Linked DNA regions of Mus musculus. The protein of the gene in region 1 purifies or fractionates together with the protein of each later gene. This does not show direct contact. Links are inferred from orthologs where the notes say so. Each region holds a gene or a part of one and is shown on either strand. Other genes may lie near its edges. The genes, in order: Med9, Med31, Med18, Polr2b, Med13l, Med4 and Med25.

The links.
Region 2: the proteins of Med9 (region 1) and Med31 purify together in Homo sapiens (affinity purification with mass spectrometry; 4 studies listed by BioGRID and IntAct, with this or other methods). This does not show direct contact. The link is inferred for Mus musculus from reciprocal best matches to the Homo sapiens genes MED9 and MED31.
Region 3: the proteins of Med9 (region 1) and Med18 purify together in Homo sapiens (affinity purification with mass spectrometry; 6 studies listed by BioGRID and IntAct, counting the BioPlex papers as one, with this or other methods). This does not show direct contact. The link is inferred for Mus musculus from reciprocal best matches to the Homo sapiens genes MED9 and MED18.
Region 4: the proteins of Med9 (region 1) and Polr2b purify together in Homo sapiens (affinity purification with mass spectrometry; 4 studies listed by BioGRID and IntAct, with this or other methods). This does not show direct contact. The link is inferred for Mus musculus from reciprocal best matches to the Homo sapiens genes MED9 and POLR2B.
Region 5: the proteins of Med9 (region 1) and Med13l purify together in Homo sapiens (affinity purification with mass spectrometry; 5 studies listed by BioGRID and IntAct, with this or other methods). This does not show direct contact. The link is inferred for Mus musculus from reciprocal best matches to the Homo sapiens genes MED9 and MED13L.
Region 6: the proteins of Med9 (region 1) and Med4 purify together in Homo sapiens (affinity purification with mass spectrometry; 10 studies listed by BioGRID and IntAct, with this or other methods). This does not show direct contact. The link is inferred for Mus musculus from reciprocal best matches to the Homo sapiens genes MED9 and MED4.
Region 7: the proteins of Med9 (region 1) and Med25 purify together in Homo sapiens (co-immunoprecipitation; 3 studies listed by BioGRID and IntAct, with this or other methods). This does not show direct contact. The link is inferred for Mus musculus from reciprocal best matches to the Homo sapiens genes MED9 and MED25.

Annotation. Positions count from the first base shown.
Region 1 is NC_000077.6:59,946,933-59,951,013, forward strand, and holds the start of Med9 (mediator of RNA polymerase II transcription subunit 9), read left to right. Parts: upstream 1-1,281; 5' UTR 1,282-1,334; coding exon 1,335-1,546; intron 1,547-4,081.
Region 2 is NC_000077.6:72,212,531-72,216,830, forward strand, and holds the start of Med31 (mediator of RNA polymerase II transcription subunit 31), read right to left. Parts: upstream 2,801-4,300; 5' UTR 2,459-2,800; coding exon 2,431-2,458; intron 1,686-2,430; coding exon 1,608-1,685; intron 1,344-1,607; coding exon 1,247-1,343; intron 1-1,246. Other genes in the region: 4930563E22Rik (uncharacterized protein C17orf100 homolog), read left to right, coding at 2,801-3,190. UniProt on the Homo sapiens protein: Component of the Mediator complex, a coactivator involved in the regulated transcription of nearly all RNA polymerase II-dependent genes.
Region 3 is NC_000070.6:132,458,229-132,460,921, reverse strand, and holds the end of Med18 (mediator of RNA polymerase II transcription subunit 18), read left to right. Parts: intron 1-808; coding exon 809-1,362; 3' UTR 1,363-2,193; downstream 2,194-2,693. UniProt on the Homo sapiens protein: Component of the Mediator complex, a coactivator involved in the regulated transcription of nearly all RNA polymerase II-dependent genes.
Region 4 is NC_000071.6:77,341,484-77,344,983, reverse strand, and holds part of Polr2b (DNA-directed RNA polymerase II subunit RPB2), read right to left. Parts: intron 2,455-3,500; coding exon 2,204-2,454; intron 2,124-2,203; coding exon 2,034-2,123; intron 1,815-2,033; coding exon 1,707-1,814; intron 193-1,706; coding exon 79-192; intron 1-78. UniProt on the Homo sapiens protein: Catalytic core component of RNA polymerase II (Pol II), a DNA-dependent RNA polymerase which synthesizes mRNA precursors and many functional non-coding RNAs using the four ribonucleoside triphosphates as substrates.
Region 5 is NC_000071.6:118,738,719-118,742,218, reverse strand, and holds part of Med13l (mediator of RNA polymerase II transcription subunit 13-like), read right to left. Parts: intron 3,425-3,500; coding exon 3,219-3,424; intron 394-3,218; coding exon 1-393. UniProt on the Homo sapiens protein: Component of the Mediator complex, a coactivator involved in the regulated transcription of nearly all RNA polymerase II-dependent genes.
Region 6 is NC_000080.6:73,513,049-73,516,046, reverse strand, and holds part of Med4 (mediator of RNA polymerase II transcription subunit 4), read right to left. Parts: intron 2,243-2,998; coding exon 2,072-2,242; intron 758-2,071; coding exon 700-757; intron 1-699. UniProt on the Homo sapiens protein: Component of the Mediator complex, a coactivator involved in the regulated transcription of nearly all RNA polymerase II-dependent genes.
Region 7 is NC_000073.6:44,882,425-44,885,924, forward strand, and holds part of Med25 (mediator of RNA polymerase II transcription subunit 25), read right to left. Parts: intron 3,481-3,500; coding exon 3,360-3,480; intron 3,078-3,359; coding exon 2,915-3,077; intron 2,787-2,914; coding exon 2,656-2,786; intron 2,497-2,655; coding exon 2,409-2,496; intron 2,333-2,408; coding exon 2,139-2,332; intron 1,827-2,138; coding exon of another isoform or gene 1,824-1,826; coding exon 1,695-1,823; intron 761-1,694; coding exon 675-760; intron 602-674; coding exon 544-601; intron 443-543; coding exon 335-442; intron 1-334. UniProt on the Homo sapiens protein: Component of the Mediator complex, a coactivator involved in the regulated transcription of nearly all RNA polymerase II-dependent genes.

The DNA.
Region 1 (4,081 bases):
TTCATTCCACAGTAGTAGTGATAGCTACTGTTTGCTAACACTGCCGTTTTACCATGCATTCTCCCAGATGTCTCCAGAGGTGTCTTCAAGTCTTTTCTGGCACACCTGGTTCCATCTTAGACCATTCTCTTCTCCCTTCTTCCTCAGGAATCATGGCCCTTCCCCTAAGGTGGAGAGGTCCTGGGTTAGAAGGAAATCCTACAGTTTCCTGCAGTGAGAAATGTTCTTCTAATCAGACACTTAGTTCCACAGGGGCCTGTATTCCCTAACTCCACTCCCCCCACCCACCTTTCCCTTTGGGTGATTAGCCCATTGAGTCATATTGAGAAGTTGTGTTCCCACTAATGGGATGAAATGCACCTAAGCCTGAGATGGAAGAAAGTGGCCATTTTGTTGAGTGTTTCTGCTATCTTATCTTGAGTTCTGGTGCACTCATTTTCAAGAAATAAATAAATCACCTTGTTTCACTTTGTTTCTGTCTTCTTTTGAGCAACACTGAGATTATTCTTTTCCTGACAGTGCCTCTGTTTAGAGAACTATCTGCAGCTCTGAAGAAAACAATTCTGAGACCTGTAGCTAAAAAACCTGAAAACACCATTGTGAAGTTCCACGTTCCTGCTTCTTTTTGTTTCTGAGATGTGGGCTCCTGGCCTCTCTTTACTGACATGGTTCCTGTCATCAAAGACAGATGTCCTCTCCCAGTTGACAGCTTCCCTAATCCCTGATTTTTGTTAGTCAGAATCAGAATTACTGCTACCCTTGTCCAGAAAATTTTTAATGGAGCCCATTTGCTTGAAATGAATAAATACAAGCCTATCGTAAAGTTCTCCTATTTGGTCCAAGATCTTAGTCTTATATACGTATGTAGTCTGGCACCTGCTAGATGCATACCAAATGCTTGAAGAACGATTAGTTTTCCCCTTGGCAGCCGTGTGGAACTAGTTTGTATGGCCTGTTTTGCTGTCGCCAGTCTGGGGCCCTCCTGGAGGCTAGCATGACACAAAGACGTGTAAGTCCTTGTCATCTGGATGCTCGCTGCCGCAGAGCCTCAGTTTCACACGGTGCTCACCAGCGTCATCCGTTCTTCCTGCCAGTCCCGGGGGTCCTCGTTGGTGTTTTGACCTCTCTCTGTCATGTGAACTAGAAAGATGACTGGAGTAGATTCCCTAATCCTGACTACTCAATTTAGCTTTCCCGACACCCGTCGCCTAGCAACGCCCGCCCGCCTACGCCCAGGGCGCAGACTCAGAGTTTTTTCCCGCCCGGCCTCCCCGGGCGCGCAGTTGTGACGCAAGCACCCAGCGCCCCTCGGCAGCTGCTGGACTCCTGGTGCTATGGCTTCCTCTGGGGTGGCGGGTGGGAGACAGGCCGAAGATACGCTACAGCCACCGCCCGAGCTGCTGCCGGAGTCCAAGCCGCCACCACCGCCTCAGCCTCTGCCGGTCGCTGCGCTCCCGCCGCCGGCGGCTCCGCGGCCTCAGTCCCCCGCTGGCGCGAAGGAGGAGAATTACTCCTTTTTGCCGTTGGTTCACAATGTCATCAAATGGTAAGGGTCTAGGAAAGGTTAAGACACCACTTTTTGCGACTCTAGTGTCCCTGGTTCCGAGCTGCCAAAGCCCGTGGGCTCTGGACCACGCCCCATTTTCCCAGAGGGCCCACGTTGTCAGGCGCCTTAAGAGTTACACTTTACTCCCGGGTGAAGCCCACGTACTGATCAAATGCATAGATAGGTTCTGCAGTGTCCCATCCCAGATCCTGCAGTGACTTGGGGATGGGTCTTAAGTCCTTACACATAGCCCGAAGGCAATTTTATACAGTTGTTTTAATTCGCCTGCGTTTTGACTGTTCGCATGAAGCCCAGAGCGGAATTTCTCACTTGTGGCATTATATGAGCCCCGAAAAGTGTTCGAATTTTGGTGGACCTCAGACGTTCAGACTCGAGATTCTCACCGTGTACACAGTTTAGTACCCATTTCAATGCGAGGCATCTTACCTGTGTGGGCTCTGTTAGGTACTAGGGTTGTACACCGTAAAGAAAGGAGCAGCCATTTACCCTTACAGGGCTTAACGGTTACAAGCAAAGAAAAACAAACAAACATTCTTAAAAGTGGAGAGATGGCGCACACCTTTAATCCCAGCACTTGGGAGGCAGAGGCAGGCGGATTTCTGAGTTCGAGGCCAGCCTGGTTTACAGAGTGAGTTCCAGGACAGCCAGGGCTATCCAGAGAAACCCTGTCTCCAAACAAACAAGTGGAGAGGGGAGAAGTGATGCTAGGAAACATTTGAAACGAAGACACAGAAGTTGCTCTGAATGATTGTGTCCCACTATTAACTTTATTCTAATAATTCTAATAGAATATACAAGGATGTATGGTCTTTTAGGCCCAAAGTCTCCAGTCTCCATGATGGCCTATGTTTTTGCTCACTCCATATACGCTTGGGTCATTTCCAAGAGGTACACTTTTTGGTGCAAGCATTCTCAAGTGTGCTTTGATAAACTTAGGTGACGCGGAACAGTTACTGCCTGGTGCCTCTTTGTGCAGTCAGGATTCTTAGCAACACTGGGAGTTGGACAGGTTGGTGGGTAAGAGCACTCGCGGTACAAACGGCACAAGGATCTGAGTTCCAATCCTCAGCGTCCACATAAAAAGCCAGTCATGGCTGCTCGTGCCTGGAGCCCCAGCGTCCCAGCGCTACAGACAGATCTCAAGAGCTCTGGCCAGGCTGCCTGGCTGACACTGTTAACTTCCTATTTAATATGAGACCCTGTCTCTAGGCAACAAGGCGAAGCGCTACAGTATAATACATCCATAAACTAGTGACATCATTATTTATTATCATTATCAAGCATTAAGAACTACCTGTAATTGTATAGGTAATACTTTTTATCCATCAGGCAGTATACTTTTTTTTTTTTCACACTCTTGTGAGTGGCGCATTCTGCTGCAACATTACCACAACTACTTTGTCATTAGGCAAAGGAAGGTTTTGGTTACATTATAAGCATTAGACAGTTACTGAATATATGATCTGGCATTAATCAGGTTATTTAGCACATACCTGTATAGCCACAGGACACTAGGTGCAAACCTCTGAATTTCTTCTAAACCATTAGATACTAAAAGTAAATTAAGACAAGATTACAGTTCCGGTCACATTTAGGAACATTGGCAAGCCCTCTTGCTGGAGCTGAGGCAGTCTGGGTTTCTTGCTCTGGTGGTTTGGTGTTTGTCTTAGGACTGCTACTGCTGTGCTGAAACACTGACCAAAAGCAAACTGTGGAGGAAAGGGTTTATCTGACTTACACTTCTGTATCACTTTTCCTCACTGGAGGAAGTCGGCAGCAACCTGCAGGCAGAGGCTGATGTAGAGGCCATGGAGGAGTGCTTTCTTGCTCAGTGCGCTCTCTCTTCCTTTTTTATTGTGTTTGTTTCTCCTTGTATTCCTGGCTGTTCTGGAACTATTTTTAAGCCAGGTTGGCCTCAAATTCAGAAATCTGCTTGCGTCTACACCCCTACGTACTGGGATTAATGTCATGAGCCACCACTGCCCAACTTCAGCGTGCTTTCTTACTCTAGTAAGACCACCAGCCCAGGGTGACTCCCCACAGTGGGTGGGGCCTCCTCACTGTAATCACTAGTTAGGATGCTCTTCAGGCTCGCCTACAGCATGCTTCTGTGGGAGCATTTTTCCAACTGAGTTTCCTTCCTCTCTGCTGACTCTGTGTTAAGTTGACATAAAAGTGGGATAGCACAGCGCTCATCTGCCGCTTTTCAAATGACTGCAAAACCTTGGTTCTCACGTTCACTCCTCTCTTGGCTTCAGACAACGTGAACCTCCCGTATGCAGGGTAAGGCAGACTGTCCCCTCTGTGTTAGCTGTTGGCAAATACATTATGAGATGGAAGTGAGGAAAATAAAAACCATCTCAGGGCAGTGCTGGAGTACTGGTTTATTCAGAGTAACTTGCAAACATTAAAAACATGGGAAATCAGAACACAGATGTATACACATTCACCTATACCTCAGGAAGGATCCTCCTGACCCGGAAGAGCAGTTGGGTTGGGCCAGCCTCAGTGACA
Region 2 (4,300 bases), about 12 Mb from region 1:
TCCGGTCTGAAAATTTGCTAGCATGTAACATTTTATATCTTCTAATATAACTTCAAGTCTATCATTTGGATTCCTAAAGGAATCTATAATTGCATCATGAAGAGCAAATCTACAGGCAGCAAATCAAGTCAGGAAGGTAACGAGGATAAAAAGAAATTTTTGAAATGTTTTACTCTCATTTTTAAAATTAGAGTCTCTGCCGGGCAGTGGTGGCGCACACCTTTAGTCCCAGCACTTGGGAGGCAGAGGTAAGCATATTTCTGAGTTCAAGGCCAGCCTGGTCTACAAAGTGAGTTCCAGGACAGTCAGGGCTACACAGAGAAACCCTGTCTCGAAAAACAAAACAAAACAAAACAAAACAAAAAAGAGTCTCTCTGTGTGGACCTGATTGGCCTGAAATTTGCTACATAACCAGGCTGGCCTCAAACTCATAGAGATCTACCTGACTCTGTTTCTTGAGAGCTGGGATTAAAGGGATGCCAGGCTAAACTTCTGGTTTTTCTGTTGTCTCCTCCTTTGAGAGGCACATCTAGACAGGGCTTACCTGTGTAGAGCTTGCTGCCCTGGAAGTAGCTCTGTAGACTAAGCTGGCCTTGAATTCATGTGCCCACCTCTGCCTCCCAAATGTTGGGATTAAAGGTGTGTGCCAGCTTCTTCTTCTTCTTTTTTTTTTTTTAAGTCAAAGCTATTGAGTTTGATAGTGTCCGTGTTTGTTCTTTTACAGTGAGTTAATGTGTACAATACATTTAGCACAGTGCTCGAAACAAAGAACACTCACTATAAAGAAGGGCAGTACCTCTAAAACTCCCAGAAAACAATACTTCCTACCTTCCTAGATTATAGTTTGGTAGGCATTAAAAATCCAGAAAGACAAGGGCAGTGCTAAGTGACAAGGTTAGACACCAAATTACATTAGAACTATAGTCTGAAACCAGTTGACTGGATCTTAGCTAGCCTGCATGAACAGAAGTGGTGTGTTCTGGCTTATATTACTTAGAGAGTAAGCTGGCTCCCATGAAGACAGTTGTTTGGTTCTGTTTGAAGGGAGTGAGGTAAGAATGGTAGCAGAAATAAATGCAATTCCTAAAATAATCTAAGTTACAGATGACAGTATCTTACATTAACTAAAAGCAGAAAGATTCAAAATATCATTTTCCATTCCCACACAGAGAAAACTGCTCAGTATCAGCACTTTGTATTTATGATAAAGTATACACAGATTTAGGATTATAAAAATTAAACTTACTTTAGATATTTGGCATATTCTGGTTCTTTCCAGTAAAGCAAATACTTAAGATAATTAACAAAAGCTTTGTCTTTGAAGTAACCTCTTTGGGCAAGAACTGAAAGACACAAAGAAACAATCCGTATGTCAACCAACCGCTGGACTACTGATTAGTAATCTCTAAAACAAAGTAGCTCTTAACATCCCTACCAACAGAACACAAGGAATTAAAAACACAAGCCTTTGTTTGCCCAGTTAACTTACAGACCAGAACAAATAAAATCCCATTCAAACACATCGAAGTAATAAATAGTATTACAAACTGCATCTCTTCTCAGAAATTAAGAGCTAGTTGCTTAAGTTAGTGATGTACTTAACTTACAATTAAGGTAGTTTGGGTTGGCTAAACATTGCACAAATTCCAACTCCAACTGAAACCGAAGCCGATTTCCAGCATCATCTAGGAGAAAAGACAAATATCAAAGTGCAGAAGAGACTTTCTTAGAAATTAAAGATATATGTATATGCGTGTGTGTATATATGTGTGTGTGTGTGTGTGTATATATATATATATATATATATATATATATATATATTCACTAAGTAATGAGGCCCTGTTTCCAAAACAAAAATAGTAAAACAAAAAATAGTAAAGAAATCCTTTAAAGTTAATTGAGGAAAAAATAAGTTGAATGGGAATTTACCACCTGCAGGCCACTTTGTTAGCGGAGATCACTGGACAGTCTGTAATAGCTGTGCGGTTCCCTAAGTTGTTATAACCACAACTATCAACTGTGATTACGTTAAGCAAAATCAATGTGCTACACAAAACCGAAGCATGATGCAAAGTGATTAAACAATGGAGAGAAGGCGGTGTCCGCATTAGAATACACAGGTTATCGATATTTCGGGCAAGTTCTTGGGAGTACCTTCAGCACAGACAGTGGAAGGTCTCAGTCCTCTCCCACGGCCCTGCACGGCCCCAAGAGCCAGGGTTGGAGTAGGGGTTTGAGCAACCCAGGAGCAAAGATGTTTTCACAGACCATAGTCTGAGAAGCAGCACAGCCTTCTCCTCCGCCGGTCCCAACTCTAAGGATGCCAAGTTGAACCCGAAAGACAGCGCAGGAAAAGGGAAAAGGGAGGGAATTTCGGGGCGTAGGACCATTCCCTTGGGGTGAAGACTCGGGGTGCAAGTCACAACGTACCTGTCTCCATAGCGACGGCCGCGGCCATAACAATCAGAGTGAGGCGAACACCACCAGCCCCGACCGAACCGCGACTTCGATTGGTGAGAATCCGGAAGCCACGGCTCCTACTTCCGGTCGCGGGGCAGAGTGGGACACGAGGGCGGGGACAACCTCACTTATGGGAAAATTAGCCCCACCTATCTGTGCAGACCCGGCCGGCTGCGCGCGCAGATATCGAGCGGGGCGTGCCGGAGGACTTCTCATTTTTTAGGTCTCAGAGTCCTGCTACCTACCCCGACGTAATACACCACCCTGACGTCACCTTTCCCTGTGTGACGTGACGCAGAGCATGATCCTTGGGCCTCTTTGTCCCACCTGACCAAGGTGTATGGGCAGGATGGCCTCGCCCCTTAGGAGCAAGTCCTCCGCCCCGCGAGTGGAAAGCACCCGCCACAAGGAGACATCGACTGTCCGCGTGGAGACGTCGTCCCACCGCGAGGAAACGTCATCCCACCGCGTGGAGACGTCCTCCCGGCAGGTTCGAACGTCTTCCCGGCAGGTGGAGACCTCCCAGCGCCACCGAGAGGGGCCCTCCCTCACCCCCTCCACGAAGCGACTCCCTCAGTTCCTTGAGGTGTCCTCCCAGCACGTGGAAACCTCCTCGCAGTGCACGGAAACGTCCTCCCGCCACGTCAGGGCGTCGTCATCCCTGAGGGTGGAGACTACTGTGCACCGTGTTGAGAGCCCAGCCAGGCAGAGTGCCAGAATGGCTCGATGAAGTGCCAAAGGTCCTTAGCCAGGACTGAAGAGTTGCCAGCCAGCCATCTTCCAGGAGAACCGAGCATCTTTGGTTTCATGGAAAGAACCCATAAATCAGTGTAAGAAACAGGCTGTGGTTTCTGGGGGCTGTTAACATGTATTGACATTGCAGCACCTTAGACCATCCTGTTGTTGACCCCAGTGTGCTATTAACTTGAAGCCAGCACAGAAGGTTTCAGACTGGTAGTGCAGTATAAACCTGGCTGATGGACAATGAGATTCTTTGAGTCTCTACACCAGGTAAGTTTTATAGTCTTAGGTCACTCTAGGATGTGTTGACGACTTGAAATTTGCAAAGAGGGGCCAAACTTGTCATGATTCTTGACCGCTGGCCTGATCATATACCTGCTTGAAACCTACAGGGCAAGGTATCATCTTTCATACATTATTAATTGGCCTTTATTAATACTTATATTTCATTATACATTTTCTCATGTTGTCATACATAGTATTCCACCCACACTTAAAAAATTAAATCAGGGGGTATAGGAAAAAACAGGACAATTAATAAACAATCAATAAAACCATTAATAATCTTGGAAGGGAAAGTAAAGAAGAAGCCATGACACTTGGCCTGAGGCGTGAGATTGACAGGATGGTAACTGAGTATTACTGCATGCTAGGTAGTAGTTAGAGCATGGCAGCTAGAGCAGTGGAAAAGACTAGGATCTTCCTCTAATGAAGAGACATGCAACAAAGGGGAAAGTAAGACAACATGCTGTTGTATTCCCGCGAAGGAAAGGCTGTCTGTCTTGTGGTAGAGAGTAGGGAACTCTTTAGAGAATATGGTCAGGGAAAGCCTTGCTGATTACATTTGGTCCGAGATTTGTGTGAGTGGACAGTGAGCCATATCAGGATCTAGAGGGAAGTGCATTCTAGACAGAAGGGAAAGTCTACATTTTTTTTAAAAATCAAAGATGTTTATGTAAGAGAAAGATCAGTTAGTATATGAGAGCGTGGTATAAGGAAGAAAACAAAAAGGAGGAAGATGCCACTTCATATAGAGTCTTGGAAATCTTCTGGGATTACAGTAAAGAGCTTGAATTTTATTCTGAGATCATCAAAAGAA
Region 3 (2,693 bases), on another chromosome or scaffold:
TAATCTTATTTAATCTTTGTTGTTGTTTAATTTTATTATTTTATAGTGCTAGGAATTGAACCCCGAGCCTTCTGTGTCAGTCCTCAGCCGTTAAGCTCCATCCCTCAGCCTTGGTCCTCTTGGTGCCTTGATCAAACCCCAGCAAGGCCTTGCATCTGGAGCACATGGTCTCTCACAGATCTACACCCAGCCACAATGATTTATTTATAGCCAATGCAATTTTTCCATTTGTAGAACAAATTCAGATTTTCTTTTTCATATAATTATACTTCAGAACAAGAAGCCGGGCATGGTGATAACACCCCTTTCATCCCATTAAGGCAGGCAGGTGCTGGAGCAGTAGCTGAGAGCTACAGCCTGAGCCACTGACAGAAAGATGGGGGCCCGCTTTTGAAAACTCCCACTGACACACCTCCTCCAACAAGGACGTTCCTCCTAGTCCTTCCCTAAACAATAGGAAGTAGAGACTAGACATTCAAATCCAGGAGCTGTGGGGGCTACTGTCATGCAAACCACTACCCGGCATTTGCTGCTAAGTCAGACAACCTGGGTTCAATCTGGGACCCACAGGGAATCCGTTCTAGCGGGTTATCCTCCAACCAACATTTATGTGCCATTGTATTCTCGAGTTTGCCGAGACAAGAATGACTAAATATAAAACGTTTTGAATAGACAAATAAATAGAATCCCATGGATTGTTCTTAGAAAACGTTGCATAGAACTATTTATTTGGTGTGTGTATCTTTCGCTGGTTTCATGACCCTAAATGAAATGAAAGCCGGGACTCACTGTGCTTGTGCCTCTTCAGGAAGTGTTTTGGACCACAGTTTGGAAAGCCTCATCCATCGCCTCCGAGGTTTGTGTGACAACATGGAGCCTGAGACCTTCCTTGATCACGAGATGGTCTTCCTGCTTAAGGGCCAGCAGGCCAGCCCGTTCGTCCTAAGGGCCCGGCGCTCCATGGACAGGGCAGGGGCACCCTGGCATCTGCGATACCTGGGACAGCCCGAAATGGGAGACAAGAACCGCCACGCCCTGGTGCGCAACTGTGTGGACATCGCCACGTCTGAGAACCTCACGGACTTCCTGATGGAGATGGGCTTCCGCATGGACCATGAGTTTGTCGCCAAAGGACACCTGTTTCGGAAGGGCATCATGAAGGTTGTGGTGTACAAGATTTTCCGAATCCTGGTCCCAGGGAACACGGACAGCACCGAGGCCCTGTCCCTCTCCTATCTTGTGGAATTAAGTGTTGTCGCCCCGGCTGGGCAGGACATGGTCTCTGATGACATGAGGAACTTTGCAGAGCAGCTCAAACCTCTGGTTCACCTGGAAAAAATAGACCCCAAAAGGCTGATGTGATGAAGAAAGTTTGTCGGCCTTTTAGGCCTGTCCCCACCTGGGAGGTGAGAGACTTCGAAAGTAGCCCAGGTACTGCTGCCAGCCGGGCCCACTTCCTTCCAGAAGATGATGGCGAGACCTGGTTCCTTTCAACTGTTTCCTTCACTTGGTAATGTCTCTTTTTTCTTGCAACAGGGTTTTACCATGGAATTCACTACATAAACTAGCTACCCTGGAACTCAGGACCCTGTACTTCCCGCCTAAGTGCCTGCAAGGTCCTTATTAAACCTGACTGTTCATCTTCTTGATAGGCTTTTCCAATGAAAGACCCAGGATAATATGGAGATTTGTTCAAGTCCTCCCTCCACTCAAAAAGAGGGAACTGGAATAAATTAGCTTTTCAGAGGAAAGGTCAAAAAACAACTCATAATATTTTGCTTTTTTTTTCTTTTTTCTCTTCTTTTCTTTTCTTTTTTGTTTTTTTTTTTTGTTTTTTGTTTGTTTGTTTGTTTGTTTGTTTGTTTTGTTTTTCAATACAAGACAGGGTTTCTCTGTGTTGCTTTGGCTGCCCTGGAACTCACTTTGTAGACCAGGCTGGCCTCAAACTCAGAAATCCACCTGCCTCTGCCTCCCGAGTACTGGAATTAAAGGCGTGCGATAACACGCAAGCCCGGCTGTTTGTTTTTTTTTTTTTGTTTTTTTTTTGTTTTTTTTAGAGAAACATTTTTTATTCCTTTATTTATTTGTTGTTTTCTTCATATGTTTTAAATTGTGTTGTTTTGCCATTGATATACAAGGTTTACAATGGTGGTGTGAGCCAGCATTGTGTGGTAATAAAGACTGAAAAGACTCAGTTGTGATTCTGATTCTTACTCGTCTTAACTCCTTCCTAGTCTACTTCTATATTGCTATAGTTCTGTCTTACTATTGTTGTTATTGTGTATGCTGTGGGGGCCTCTCCAGGACCCACATGGGAGAAAGAAAGAACCGACTCCTGCCTGTTGCCGTCCTGTTTCTCCACAGGATTGGTTGAGTCCTGCACCCACATGTGTGCACACCCACACACAAATGTAATCAAAAACATTCAAGTAGCTGGTGATGGAGAGGTGGCTTAGCTGCTAAAGAGCACTGGCTGCTCCTGCAGAGAGGACCAGGCTTAATTCCAACACATCCTTGAGTGCTGACAACCTTCCGTAGGAGTCCAGTTCTAGGTGATTGGATGCTCTCTTTTGAAGTACACAGGCACCAGGCACACACTCAGTACACAGACATGTTCAGGCAAGAAAAGGGCCATGTGCTGGTGGTGCATGCCATTAACATTAGTCCTGGCACTCAGGAGGCAGAGGCAGGCA
Region 4 (3,500 bases), on another chromosome or scaffold:
AGGTAAACAGCTTTCTTATATATATAAAAGTACCCTCCACAGAATATGCTTGCTACATTCAGGTTATAGTAAATGTACCTCGTTCCCTCTGAGATGGTAGCCATAGTCAGACAAAAGATTAGAAATCTTCTGCACATTGACAGCATCATTAAATGGAGTAGCGTCACCAATTTCACCCTTGTTGGCAGAGACCTTTGGGATGAAAGCACGTATGAAAGAAGTCACACATCAATAGAGACCCAAATTAAAAATGTTTTCTATAAAAGGCAAAATTTTGAAATTAAAAATGGTTATAAAAGTTGTGATATACTGAGAATCATTTTTTTAATATCTTACCTAAGAAAGATACTTGTAACAAAGTAATTTCCTAAAAAACAAGGGCTAAAATGCTCTCAGATTGAAGTCTATCCATGGGATCCTACACGAAGATAGCAAGGATCCCAAACACGTCTGATGTACTCATGGAAAACAACATCTTAATGTCTTAAATGAAGCCATCGTGTTAGACTACTATCATTTTACTTTAACAAGACACCCAAATCCAGAAAACTTACCCTGAAAGATGAATACACAGCTGATACCAAAATTTTAACATTTCCTAAAGCCATACTAAGTGAACTGTCTATGAATTAACTCATCTCTAGAAAAGAGCCAGTTGCTATAACCACAAATATCTGCAAATGCTGTTTGTACTATATCTTACAAATAAATTAGTCTTAAGCCCCAGTGGTATAATTGGCTAGCACAAGGTACTTGGGCAAAAACTCTTCCTTGGTAATACTTGGCAGTTTTTCGAGTGTGCAAACACGTGTGTGTTGGTATGTGTATGTGAAAGGGAGGAACACACATCTATGTGTAGAAGTAGAAGAGGACATCAGGTTGCTGGTTAACTTGTCAACCAGAAACAAGTGGGAGCCTGAACTGGGGAACTGCCACCAGACTGCTCTGTGAGGACCTGTCTTGACTGATGTGGACATGTGAGGCTCAGTGCACCTGAGGGCCACCATCCAGGAACAGGTGTGGTACTGGAAACCAAACTGGGCAAGCCCGGGGCATGGGGATCCTCCACAGCCTGTTTTAGTTCCTGCCCTGACTTCCCTTCGAGATAGGCAAGACTGTAAGCTGTGGGATCAAACAAACCCTTTCTTCCCTAAGTCGTTCTATCACAGCAACAGGCAAAAACCAATGCTCTATCATTCTTCATACTGCCCTGAGACAGGTCTCTCCTTCCTGAACTTTGAGCTGGGCCACCAATCCACAGTGACTCTCCTGTCTCCACACACATCAACAATACACTGACTGGGGTTACAGCACCCCTCGACACACACATTATTTATATATCAATTTCTTTATGCAGAGATCAGAAGTTAATCTGTCCTTCCAGCATGCGGGCGGGATCAGGTATAAGCTCAGGCTGTCAGGCTTGCTAACGTTTTCCCAGCCCTGGGTCTCATGACTCTTTACATGAATAAACCGAGGGCATCATGCTTGCACAGAAATGCCCCTATCTACCAAGCCGGCTCCCTAACCACTCACAGATTTCTTCAAAATGAAAAAGCATGAAAAAGTGGAATAACCAGTCTGAATGCAGGAAAATATCATATTAGCTTTTAACAAAGTATCTTGGCTCAATGATCAGAGAAATGGTCACCAAAATGAAAGAAACATCAAGTTGGAACCTATTGCTTTTCAAGACAAAATCTTACCTTCCCTTGGAGACATTCGATCAAGTGACCAATTGTCATCCGGGAGGGGATGGCGTGGGGGTTTATGATGATGTCAGGAGTTATGCCTTCGCAAGTGAACGGCATGTCCTACAGAGAAAATTGTAAACAACATAAAGACATGGGAATCTCTTAGAGACAAAGCTAGACAGACCTGACACTTCCCAAGGGAAAACTTGAATGTCCTAATTCTTTTCAACATAATAGGCTAACAAACACTAAAATTAAAAAAAAAAAAGCTACAGGAAATTTTAATTAATCTTTCAATACAACTCTGGGTTAGGCAAGAGAAAGACTGGAGACACCTACCTCTTGTCTATACTGAATACCACAAGTTCCCTTCTGACCATGTCGGCTAGCAAATTTGTCTCCAATCTGCGGAATTCTAACAGAGCGCACCTGGTTTCACATAAAAATGAGTTAGAAACTGAAACGCAATTAATTTCTAAAATGGTCTACATGAATAAAACTATACTCACCCTTATTTTACAAAATTTATATCCTTCCTGGTTGAGAGTGACCATGACCTGGTCCACGATGCCCGTCTCACTAGTTCTGAGGAAAGTGCTGCAGTCCCTCTTGGTGTAGCGCCTGTTGGTGCTCTCCAGCTCATCCTCGTTCTCGGGTAAGGTGACTGTCTTGCCGATAATAACGTCATCTCCGGAGACTCGGACCCCCGGAGCTATCAAACCGTCATCGTCCAACTTTTCATAGATGGCATGCCTCATTCCTGGAGCAGAAAGACAGGGGACTTTCCTAAGTGACACTAACGGGAAGTATTTAACACGCCACACAGCTCCTCCAACAAGCATGAGAAATGCATGTATAACTCTGTACAAACCAGTGATTAACTCATAGCAAGTCTCTAGCACCACAATATTGTTCATTACTGTCCTTATTCCAAACCCCAGAAACTCTGCACTCTAATACCAGGTGTGCGTGTACGTGTGCGTGTGTGTGTGTGTATGTGTGTGTGTATCTGTGTGTGTGTATGTATCTCTGTGTGTGTATGTATGTATCTGTGTGTGTGTATATCTGTGTGTGTGTGTATGTGTCTATGTGTGTGTGTGTATGTATCTGTGTGTGTGTGTATATGTATCTGTGTGTGTGTATATGTATCTCTGTGTATGTATGTATCTCTGTGTGTGTATGTGTGTGTGTGTGTGTGTGTGTGTGTGTGTGTGTGTGTGTGTGTGTGTGTAATCTACTATACTATACCTGGACATGGTGGCACACACCCTTAATCCCAACGCTCAGGAGGCAGAGGCAGATGGGTCTCTGTGAGTTTGAAGCCAGCAAAGACTCCCGAGCAAACACCTTGTCTCAAAGTGGGAGTGGGGAAATAGCTCAGCACTTAAGATCACTAGCTGCTCTTCCAGAGGACCCAGGATCAAGTCCGAGTACCCACACGGCAGCTCATAACCATCTGTATCTCCAATCAGATGTTCTCTTCTGGCTTCCATGGTCATTGGGCATATACACAGGCAAAACACTCATACGCATAAAATAAAAATGATTTTTTAAAAAGGAAAAGAAACTTACTAAGGGAAAAAAAGGAACAGAACAGTAGAAAGTTGGATTCTATCAAAAGAAGCATTCCCTATTGTGTGGCCACTGTCACATGAGGAAGAATGCCTGTGTCCTACACATGTATTCTCCCACAGCATCGTTAGCTGTGCTCACCACCCCCGCAACCCCACCCCAAATACAGGTTTCTCTGTGTAGCCTGATATCCTAGAACTCACTCTGTAGACCAGACTGGCCTTAAACTCCAAG
Region 5 (3,500 bases), on another chromosome or scaffold:
CTGTCAAAGTTCCTGTCCTTGAAGACATTCATCACAGAATCTGACAGAATGAGGGTGACATAGAGACTGTGGGCCTCAGGAATTGGCTGCATGGTGGCAGGCTCCACAGAGTTAAGGGGCCTTGTGGTAGAGGGGGTGGAAGCTGGTGACCCCTGATCTGTGCTGTCATATTTCACAGACCCTTGGCCACTAGCAGTGCCCCCACCTCTGGGAGTTCTTGGAGTCCTGGGGGTTCGTGGTGTGGGGACAGAGAACCGAGGGGTAGCTGGAGATGGGAGAACTCCAGCTCCACTGTTGCTGGCAGGGGCGGCGCTGTTGAGTGTCACAGGTGTGTTCATCTGTGGTGTGTTCAGATAGTCTGGGTCTGCAAGGCTCCCGACACTAGGCACGTTACTGCAACAGATACAAAGTAGCTTTGGGGGGGGGGGAGTGTACAGAAGCTCCCTGCACACCCCACCCCATAGCCCTGCACTGAATATCTGCAATTTTCTCTTCAAAAACAAAGAAAAAATGAGGGAGAGAAGGAAGGAAGGAGAGAGGGGCAGAGGGAGAACATGAGAATTCTCTCTCTCTCTCTCTCTCTCTCTCTCTCTCTCACACACACACACACACACACACACACACACACACACACTCCACACCTTGACCTGCTGTGGAGCTGTGGGGAGCCTGCACGGTAGCGGTCATGGAGGAAGCTGTGTGAGGAGCACAGAGTGCAGCCTAGACTAGCTGGAGCACTGCAGGGCTTGCATCCACCCTGCAGCTACATCTTTGCCATCTTTGAAACTGAGAGCCCGCCTGTGTGCTTTTCTTGGAGGCTATGATTCTGTAATGATACTGAAGTAGCTGTAACCAAACACACATTCAAATGTGGTGCTTTCCTAATTCAGAAGGCAGCCCTGGTAAGGGCTTGCGTGTCCCCAGCACTGTGTGACTGTTGTGCCCATCTGTCTGTCCTGCACAGGCTTTAGTGTCACTCAGCAGTCACTGAGAAAGACGCACCAAGAGGTTCCTGAAGATTCCCTTTCGGTTTTCTTTATCCTTCCATGTTACATATTCTACACAATCACTCTCATTCCTCAGACGGACAGGGCTTACCTCATAAGCAGTGGCTTGGGAAGAGCAGCCAAGCAGAAAAGGAGACCATGTCTGCAGCATTTGCATGTTCTACCATTATAAAACATCTCAACACACTCCCATGGGCCTGTGCACTTGCAAGTCATCAGGGACAGCAAGTATTTCAGTTCTGGTGCCTTGGCACATGAAGCCTGTGCTCCTCAGTGAGCTGCACACCTGTATTACTTACACAGTTATTGCCCTGTAATCTTCTAGAACCTGCACCATTGGCCCAGATATCTCAGGTGTCCCAGGTATCAGGCAATATTTATATAAACCCTGACATACAAGGGTTTCTTGGGTTCAAACAAAAGCTGATACAGAAATTCAACAGTGCAATAAATAACTATCTGCACACTCACTAGATTCCTTTAAATTTTCCTGGTCAACAAAATTCTAAAATGAATCTGCAGTTTGGACCAAAAAGGATCCATGATTGCTAACTGAAAATCTAAGTACTTCACTTGTTCCCTAGGTAGAAAACAGCCTCATTCTTCCCTGTTCATTAAGAATGGACTGAAGACCAATCTTGTGTGAAAAATGGGACAGTCAGCAGAGAGACAGAAGTTGGCGTGGCCTGCAGCAGTCCTGAAGCAAGCATCAGCAAATGTCCCAAGTGTGACAGACAGGTGAGCCAAACGCAGTGGGCACTGGGGAACCCAGTGGGACCCTGACAGTGCAGAGCTGTGCTGCCTGCTCCATAAAGCAGGTCTGGGACCCCAAGGCTAGTTTTAAGTGAAGCAGAGCTAACAACAAACTAGCCACATGGTAGGGGTCAACGCTGACATCAGACCACGACACATCAGACCGTAGGGGAAAAGGTACCTTCCTGTAAGCACAGGCTCTGTAGCAATGCCAGCCTAACCTCTGCTGCAGAGGGCACAGGGCAGGAGTGAGTGATGGGTATAGTGACAGCTCAGAGCATGACGACTACCAGAGCCTGTCCAGAGAGTCTGGGGCTGAGGCTGCACAGCTAGAGCCCAAATGGAGCTTGGCAGCAGCCAGGCCAACCACTTGCAGGGCAGCGGCACAGTCCTCTCCCCTCCCCACCGTGGTCTGCTGCCACTGGCTGCTGGAGCTTTCCCAAAGCTCTGGGGAGAGGGAGCCCACTGTAAGGCGTGGGAGACCCAGGTGCAGCACCCTTCAAGCCCAAGTAGCCATTTTATAAGGCAGAGCTGTCACACGGCATGGTGGTGCTAGCTCCCAAATCCAGGGTCCTCCTGTCATTTTTTTCTACCCAGTTCCTCATTCTGACACTGACTATGTAAATCACTGGCGTCTGTCACAGACATGTGACAAAAATGAGTCCTGAACCAGAAATTTGTTTTACTTGTTCCTAAGGCTTATCTTTGAATTAGTGGTTAACATTTTAAAATAAGACAATATACATATTCAATCTCCCTGCCTGACAACTGTCCCTAAGAAGGGGCATGTGCTGGAGCCCACTCATCTCCACAGTCCCTGCAGTGAAACCGAGCAAAACACCTGCAACCTGCACTTGCTTGCTTATCCATCCACACATGCATGTGGCTCAGATGCACATTTGCATTCGCAAATTATCTGAATAAGAGGTTCTTTCTTTCAAAGAAAGCGGAGTCTGCACTGCTGGTATAAATACTGTTTCTCCGGCAGGTCGAGACAACCAAGTTACCAGCCATGTCTACCTTTACTTTCCCCAACCACACCTCAACCTGTTACTGCTTTACCTAATTGTAAAGTCCCACACTGAAACCATTACCTTACAAATCAAAGCTCCTCCCACTACCCACAAACATCAACAACTTCAATCAAGTGTAGATTCTATGGCAAACACCAGCTTAGAATCACACACAGCTCTCTAATCTTAATTTGTATACAAACATGCAAGTGCGCACAAACACACACACATACATACACACACACACACACACACACACACACACACACACACAGAAGAAACATTTAAAAATAAACACACAGACCCGCACAAGACAACATGGTCAAAAGGAAACTAAGCGAGCAAGTGGTCTCAGAGACTGAGCCACTGTGGCCCCGGGACGAGTCTGAGAAAACAGTGAGGTGCTATCACATATGGTAAGGGGTAGGTAGAGTCCCACACATACTTGTAGCCGTCTCTAATAGAAGAGGCTGCAGGGGGCATGGGCAGCTGTTCCATCTTAGGAGGGACCGCCCATGAGGGCCGGAACAGACAGGCGTCAGGTGTCTTCAGAGGCAGCAGGCAATGGCTCGGCAGCGTCTTCAGTGGAGCAAACATGGAGGATCCCACGAAAGGCTGGAACTGCGGCACTTTGTGCACATAGGAAAAGTCCTGTGACAATGAAATGGGGTTGGCTTAATGCTGGCAAACTAGAGCCAGCCACGGTGGCTCGGTGCTTCATAAAACC
Region 6 (2,998 bases), on another chromosome or scaffold:
CATACTGGCAAGCAGAGAACAAATCAGAGATGGAGAAATGGCTAAATGTAAACCAAATGCACAAAGTATTAAAGTGAAACAGCTGTAATTTCACTCTTGGTATAAAGACCAACTAGACCATGTAAGGCTTTTAAGTGGGCAGGAGGCAGGCAGGCAGGCAGGCAGGCAGGCACAGTGTACTAGCTGATGGTCTCTGACTCTAGTGTTTCCTTCTCAGTTTAGCTGTGTGGTTCCCAACATTGTTTCCTCCTAGCATTCAAGATCCAACTTCAATTTTGCTTCTCCTTCTTTCTCAACACTTCTGTAAACCAGTGTCCTCACTATACACCTGAGATAAAGCCCCATCCGCTTCTCTCATTGGTTATAAACTAACGGAGGGTTGTGAGCTACGTGTACCCTCTTCAGGATGCAAGAACACATCACACGCTACACTGAGTAACTACTGAGCATCCTCCCAACAGCCCGACTGGAGTAGTTTTTAGTTTTATCAACTAAATATTTTATTTTCATGTGCATTGATATGAGAATGTGTGCATGTGTGTGTGAAAGCATGTGAGTGTGGGCACGTACACAGCTTATGCGGTTCTAGGGATCACACATGAACAAACTTTTTACCCACTGCATCTTCTCCCCAGCCCTTATCAGCATCCTAAGACATGGGCTTATATTTCAGCCAGGCAGCCTTCCCATGGTACCAACCTTTTCTTGCTTTCTCTATTGACTTGAGTTTTTCCTTTGCCTGGTAAACAGCTGTTGCCTAATTTGAACAAATTTAAAATACAAATTATTCTTCACTATATCATGCACAGTTTTTAGATACACAAGGTTACTCACCTACAGAAACAATAACAAGACTTAGAAATCCCTGAAATTTATCAGTCGTCTTTCTGAAGCACCACTTAATCTCATTTATATCACATTAAATATCACTTATAGTTAATGAGAGAAATGTATTCACAACTCAGCCTCCTGTTGATAAATAGCTGTTAGAAAGCCATGGCCGTGCAGGGAGGGAATGCCGGGGTGAAGGGTTCCGTGGGGATTAGGACGGGAGGAGAGAAGATGAGGGCTACAAGCAGAAAGTCCTCTTGGAACTACAACACACCAGCCCTGCCTAGAGAGACAACAACAACAACACTGGATGTGCACTGTGCTACTGTAAAACAAAGGCAAATTTTCCTTTTTCTACTTTCTGTATTTTCTGGTAAGTAAATATTTCTTTCACTAGGAAAAAAAAAATTTTTTAAAGCATTTACTTAAAAATCCAAACAAAAACCCCAAAGTATTCACCTGTGATGGTTCCTTCTTATGGGCAAAACACATGCACATAAAACCGTTTATTTTACAAACAGAAATGTTTTAAATAATAGAAAACAAAGGAACACCTAATACAGAGCCTTGATTGATAACTTACCAACTTAAGATGGAAGAGCAGATAGATTAATGAAATTTTAAATATTCTGTGAAACTAGTACATGTTTATTGACCCAAAATATTTCACAAACTAGACAGTTTGATTACTTATATCAAACCTTAATTAGGTCAAAAGTACAATTCCCTTCCAATTTCTATAAAGCATTTAAATAAAATATATAGCACAAAAATAATATAGGCTATCTGAAAATAAATGGGAGGGTGGTCACTGAACCATGGGTAGGATGAGGCAGGAGGATAGCCACCAAGTTTGAGTTTGCAATTGGCATAAAGTCCTATCTAGCCAACTAAAAGGGGTGGGGGGCTAGGAAGGTAGTTCACTGGTTAAGAGCACAGACTGATCTTCCAGAGGACCCAGCAACTACATGTGGCTCACAAAACTGTCTGTAACTCCAGTTCCAGGGGATCTGATGTCCTCTTCTGGCCTCTATAGGCACCAGGCACACATATGATATGATATACATGCGTACATTCAAGCAAAACTCTGATGCACATAAAGTAAAATAAAAACAACCTTAAAAATGGCAGCTCCCCCCCCCCCCACACCCTGCGCTCGAGCACACACACAAACTAAGATAACAGACCCCTCAGAAGAGAATGAAGCAGCTCCCTCTCTCAGGACCATCCATCAACTCACCAGGATCTGCTCGGCCTCTTTCAGCTGTTTCTGCAGCTGCTGAATATCACTGTCTCTCTTCTCTACTTCTTTCTCTAAAGCCTGCATTTCGTGGTGAACTTTTCCCTGATTAAGTGCTAATTTCATTAGTTCTTGGAAGTCCCCATCTCGGTGAATTAGCAACTCCAAGACCTGTAGAGTAACAGTTGATTCCATCAGACAACAGGATTATCAAGGCTACCACCAGGAGATAATCTATAATTGAATTGGCTAGGTTTATACATTTTAACACCTTGAAATATTCTTAATCAGCATGCCATTTGTGGTTATTTTGGGAAACAGTCTTAATACCAAGAAGTGCCATTCATTCTGCTCCTCTTCCATAAAGAACAAATCTTTCAGCAGTAGTACCATGCCAAATTTCAGATTTGTTCACCTTCCAAGGATAAAATTTTTAAATTTATCCTTAACATACAATGGAACTAAAAAACAAACAATCAAACAAAAAAACCTCCTCTAAAATCTAATGCTTTCAGGCGGCAAGTTTAACAGGCAGTAAGAGACTTAAAAACTTTGAAATGTAATTGCACTGATATATTAGAAGCTATATGACACCCAGTACTGCTTAGAATGCAGGTAGTCTGAAGAATGAGGTGGTTAAAAACACAGTACAATTGAATAGATGGTATACAGATATGGCAAAAGGCCACAAAGGTTAATACCCAACAGGAGCCTGGGGTTCAGTTTGCAGCCCTTCATTTGCTAGTAGTACGACATAGGAAAAATCACTGCCTTGCATGAGCCCATTTTTCTCCTCTAGCGAGAAAGATTCACTAATAACAGCATTTATTAAATAGTGTTAGTACAGGCCAGGCTGTTCTCAAGACTCGTGACATAATGCATGTTATAACACAAGAGCTCAGCAGGCCAGGCATGGTGACACCTGTA
Region 7 (3,500 bases), on another chromosome or scaffold:
AGATGCCCCTACAACAGGTCAGATGAGTTGCAAGGGCAGGCCCTATCCAACAGAAAACAAGAGGGGCAGAGAAGTCAGGCTCCACTGCACAAGCCTACAAAGGCAACCCAAGGGAGCCTGGGGCAGCAGGACGTCCACGTGGAGGTGTTGCTACACAGTATGTCTTATCTCAGGGACTCAGTGGGCCCTAGGACACATGTACTTAAGCAAGGACGAGGTTCTATCTGCAGTGCCACAATAAGGCACAGGGTGCGAGGATCAGCAGCTCCTGGGGCTGGGTCCCCGGGGCCCTCACCAAGTTGGCAGAGAAGGGGACAGGAGTTAGTGCACTCACAAAGCCATTGCCCATGATGCGGTAGAGGCCTTTGAGGGACTCCAGGTCCTTGTTGGTGAAGTGGAACTGAACCATTCTTGAGTTCCGGAACAGCGGACCCAGGGTGGTCTGGAAGCATACAGGTATCACGTGGGGCAACACACAGAGGGGAAGCATCACGTGAGGAACAAGGTGTGAGGCCCAGGCAGGCCTGGCCGGGCAGGACTCACCAGCAGCTGCTGAGGGATAAGCTGCATGATCAGTTTCTGGGGCCACTGCTCAGTCTTCCTGGAAGGCAGCACAGGGAAAGGAGAGTCAGGGCAGTCAGGCTGAGCCTGCCCCGCCCCTGACAAATACCTACAGGTTTTCTCCATGGTTCACATAGACCTGGCAAGGCAGAGACCTCGTCAGCTTGGTGTTGGCATCCACAGATGCAGGCTTGGGTTTCTGAAAGAGAAAGGGTGACTCAACCAAGGCCTGGTGACCTAACCTTCACCAGCTCCTGCAGGCCCACAACCCCTCCCCCCACCTTCCCAGCAACCCTACTCAAGTGCCCAGATCCCACAAACACTGGGTCCCTCTTCTGGGCCCTAAATCTTATGGTCACTATCCTCCAGAGCCCAATATCTGGAACCCTGTTGAAAGCACAAATTTTGGTTTTTGCTGCTTTGGGTGTGTGTGTGCACGCATGTTGACTGACTGGGGATGGAGGCCTGTGTCTAGTAGACAACTGCTCAACCAATGAGCTCCAATAAAATTTTTTGTTTGTTTTTGGTTTTTTGAAACAGGGTCTTTCTGTGTAGCCCTGGCCATCCTAGAACTCACTGGCCTCAAACTCAAATCCATCTGGCTCTGCCTCCCCAGTACTGGGAATGGTGGGACATGCTACCATGCCTGGCTCCAACATAATTCTTTTTTTTTTTTTTTTTTGGTTTTTCGAGACAGAGTTTCTCTGTATAGCCCGGGCTGTCCTGGAACTCACTTTGTAGACCAGGCGGGCCTCGAACTCAGAAAACCACCTGCCTCTGCCTCCCAAGTGCTGGGATTAAAGGTGTGCGCCACCACGCCCGGCTACCAACATAATTCTTTTTTTTTTTTTTTAAGATTTATTTATTTATTATATGTAAGTACACTGTAGCTGTCTTCAGACACTCCAGAAGTGGGCATCAGATCTCGTTACGGATGGTTGTGAGCCACCATGTGGTTGCTGGGATTTGAACTCCGGACCTTCGGAAGAGCAGTCGGGTGCTCTTACCCACTAGGCCATCTCACCAGCCCCCCCAACATAATTCTTAAATGCCAACTTGAGAGCTGGGCCACACATCCTGCCTTCCTCTGCATATCCTAAGTGCTCTGGGAGCCCCCCTTCTCAGCCACTCACCTCCTGCCACTCGAGGACTCCACTCCAGGCTAGGAGCTTGTTGGATACTGACTGCTGCCCACCAAGTGCAGGACCCCCAAGCTGGGCTGCTGAAGGACCATTGACCCCACCTGGGGTTACAGTGCCTGCCTGCTGAGGACAAACAGCAATGAGGACACCATGCTCTGTCGGGGAGTAGACACCTTATAGGAGCGGGACAAAGGACCTCCGCGACCACTAACCATATGTCTGAGACCATCCATGCCAAGCATGAGGAACCAGACTCCCAGAATTCCAGGATACCTGGGTTCCTCAGGCCAGGAGCCCACAGCCCTGCCCCAGAGCTGCACATCACAGCTATGCACCTCACCGTGGAGCTCAGGCCCCTTGCGGGAGGCTAGGTACCACCTTTCATCTACTGTGAGCACAGCAGCAGCCTGAGGCTGGGGACGACGAGCCACCTACCAGAGACGGCGCCCCAGGCTGCGCAGGAGCTGCCAGGACTGGTCCGGGGGCCACGGTGGAGACTAGGCTAGGCTGTGAGGCAGGAGGTGGCTTTGGAGCTCCAGGGGGCACAGGAGCCAATGGGGGTGCTGGGGCCTGGCTGAAGGGGGGCCCCACTCCTGGAGCAGCTTGCTGGAGAGGGTTGATGGGTGAGACTGTGGGAGAAACCAGCGTGAGTGGGTAGCTGGGTCAGAATGTAGGGAAGCCCCCTCTGCCTCTTCTAGAACTCACAGCGTGGGCCCAGCCCGGCCTTCTGGCTCTTGGCAGCCTCCACAGCATTCTGCGCAGCCACCTGAGCAGCACTTAGGTTCCCAGGAACCTGTCACATGAAAGAAGACCATGTGCCCCTAGAACTATGTACTTCTGCACCCCGAAGCAAAATACACAGCTCTGATGACCCAGGAGCTTTGACTCCACCCCCACAGAGGCCAAGTCTCCACAGGGCCCCAGGAGCTGCCCCCCCCCATTACATCCATACCTGGTACTGTGGTGGGACAGGGGGCAGAGCCTGCGGGGGCGCTGCTGACAGCGTGGCAGCAGAAGCTGGAGCTGGTGGCAAGGGGACTGCTTGCTTGGTCTGCAGAGAGCCTGAGGTCGAGCTGCCACCAACTGAGCACAGGAGAGACAACACAGGCCCAAGAGAAGGAGTTGGGGGTAGAAAAGGGACAACCAAAAATCCATGTTAACAGAGTACTGAAAAGGAACCCCCCCTTTAGCGTACAGTACCCAGGCCTCACCAGGCAGCACGAGCCCACGCACAAGCACCATGTGCCTGGGGTCCTGGCTGACGTCTGCTGGTTGCTGCAAAGGCTCCAGTAGGGCAGGAGGAGCCGCCTTCTCAAACAGAAGCCGGAGGGCTGGCAGCTTTCTCGGAGAAACGATGGAGAAGTGGATGCCTCGCTGCAGAAGGGGAAAGCAATAATGGCCTCCATGAACGTGCTGGAGTTAGTCTCCTCCCCTGCCTCGGGGTGGGACAGCACACCGTGGGCACGTAAAGCCTGGCCTTAGGTTACCCAGAATTCTGAGTATGGACAGTCGTAAGCAAGCACAGAGACTTTGGCTATTTTTTGCCTTGGGTTTCGGACCCCAGCCTGCTTCCTAGGATCCAGGTGTGGGCTTCCCCCTCCCTCCCTCCCTCTCTCCCACACAGGGGTGCAGCCCCCAACTCAGCACTCCCCTCACCTCTCCTATTTTCTGCACCAGGCTCTCGGTAGTGCAGCCTGAGTAGGTGGTGCTCTCCACGGCGGGCAGGAGGTACGGGGGTGAGTTGCAGATGAGGAGACAGACTCGGTGGGTCTGGCCACTGCCAGGGACAAAGTCATG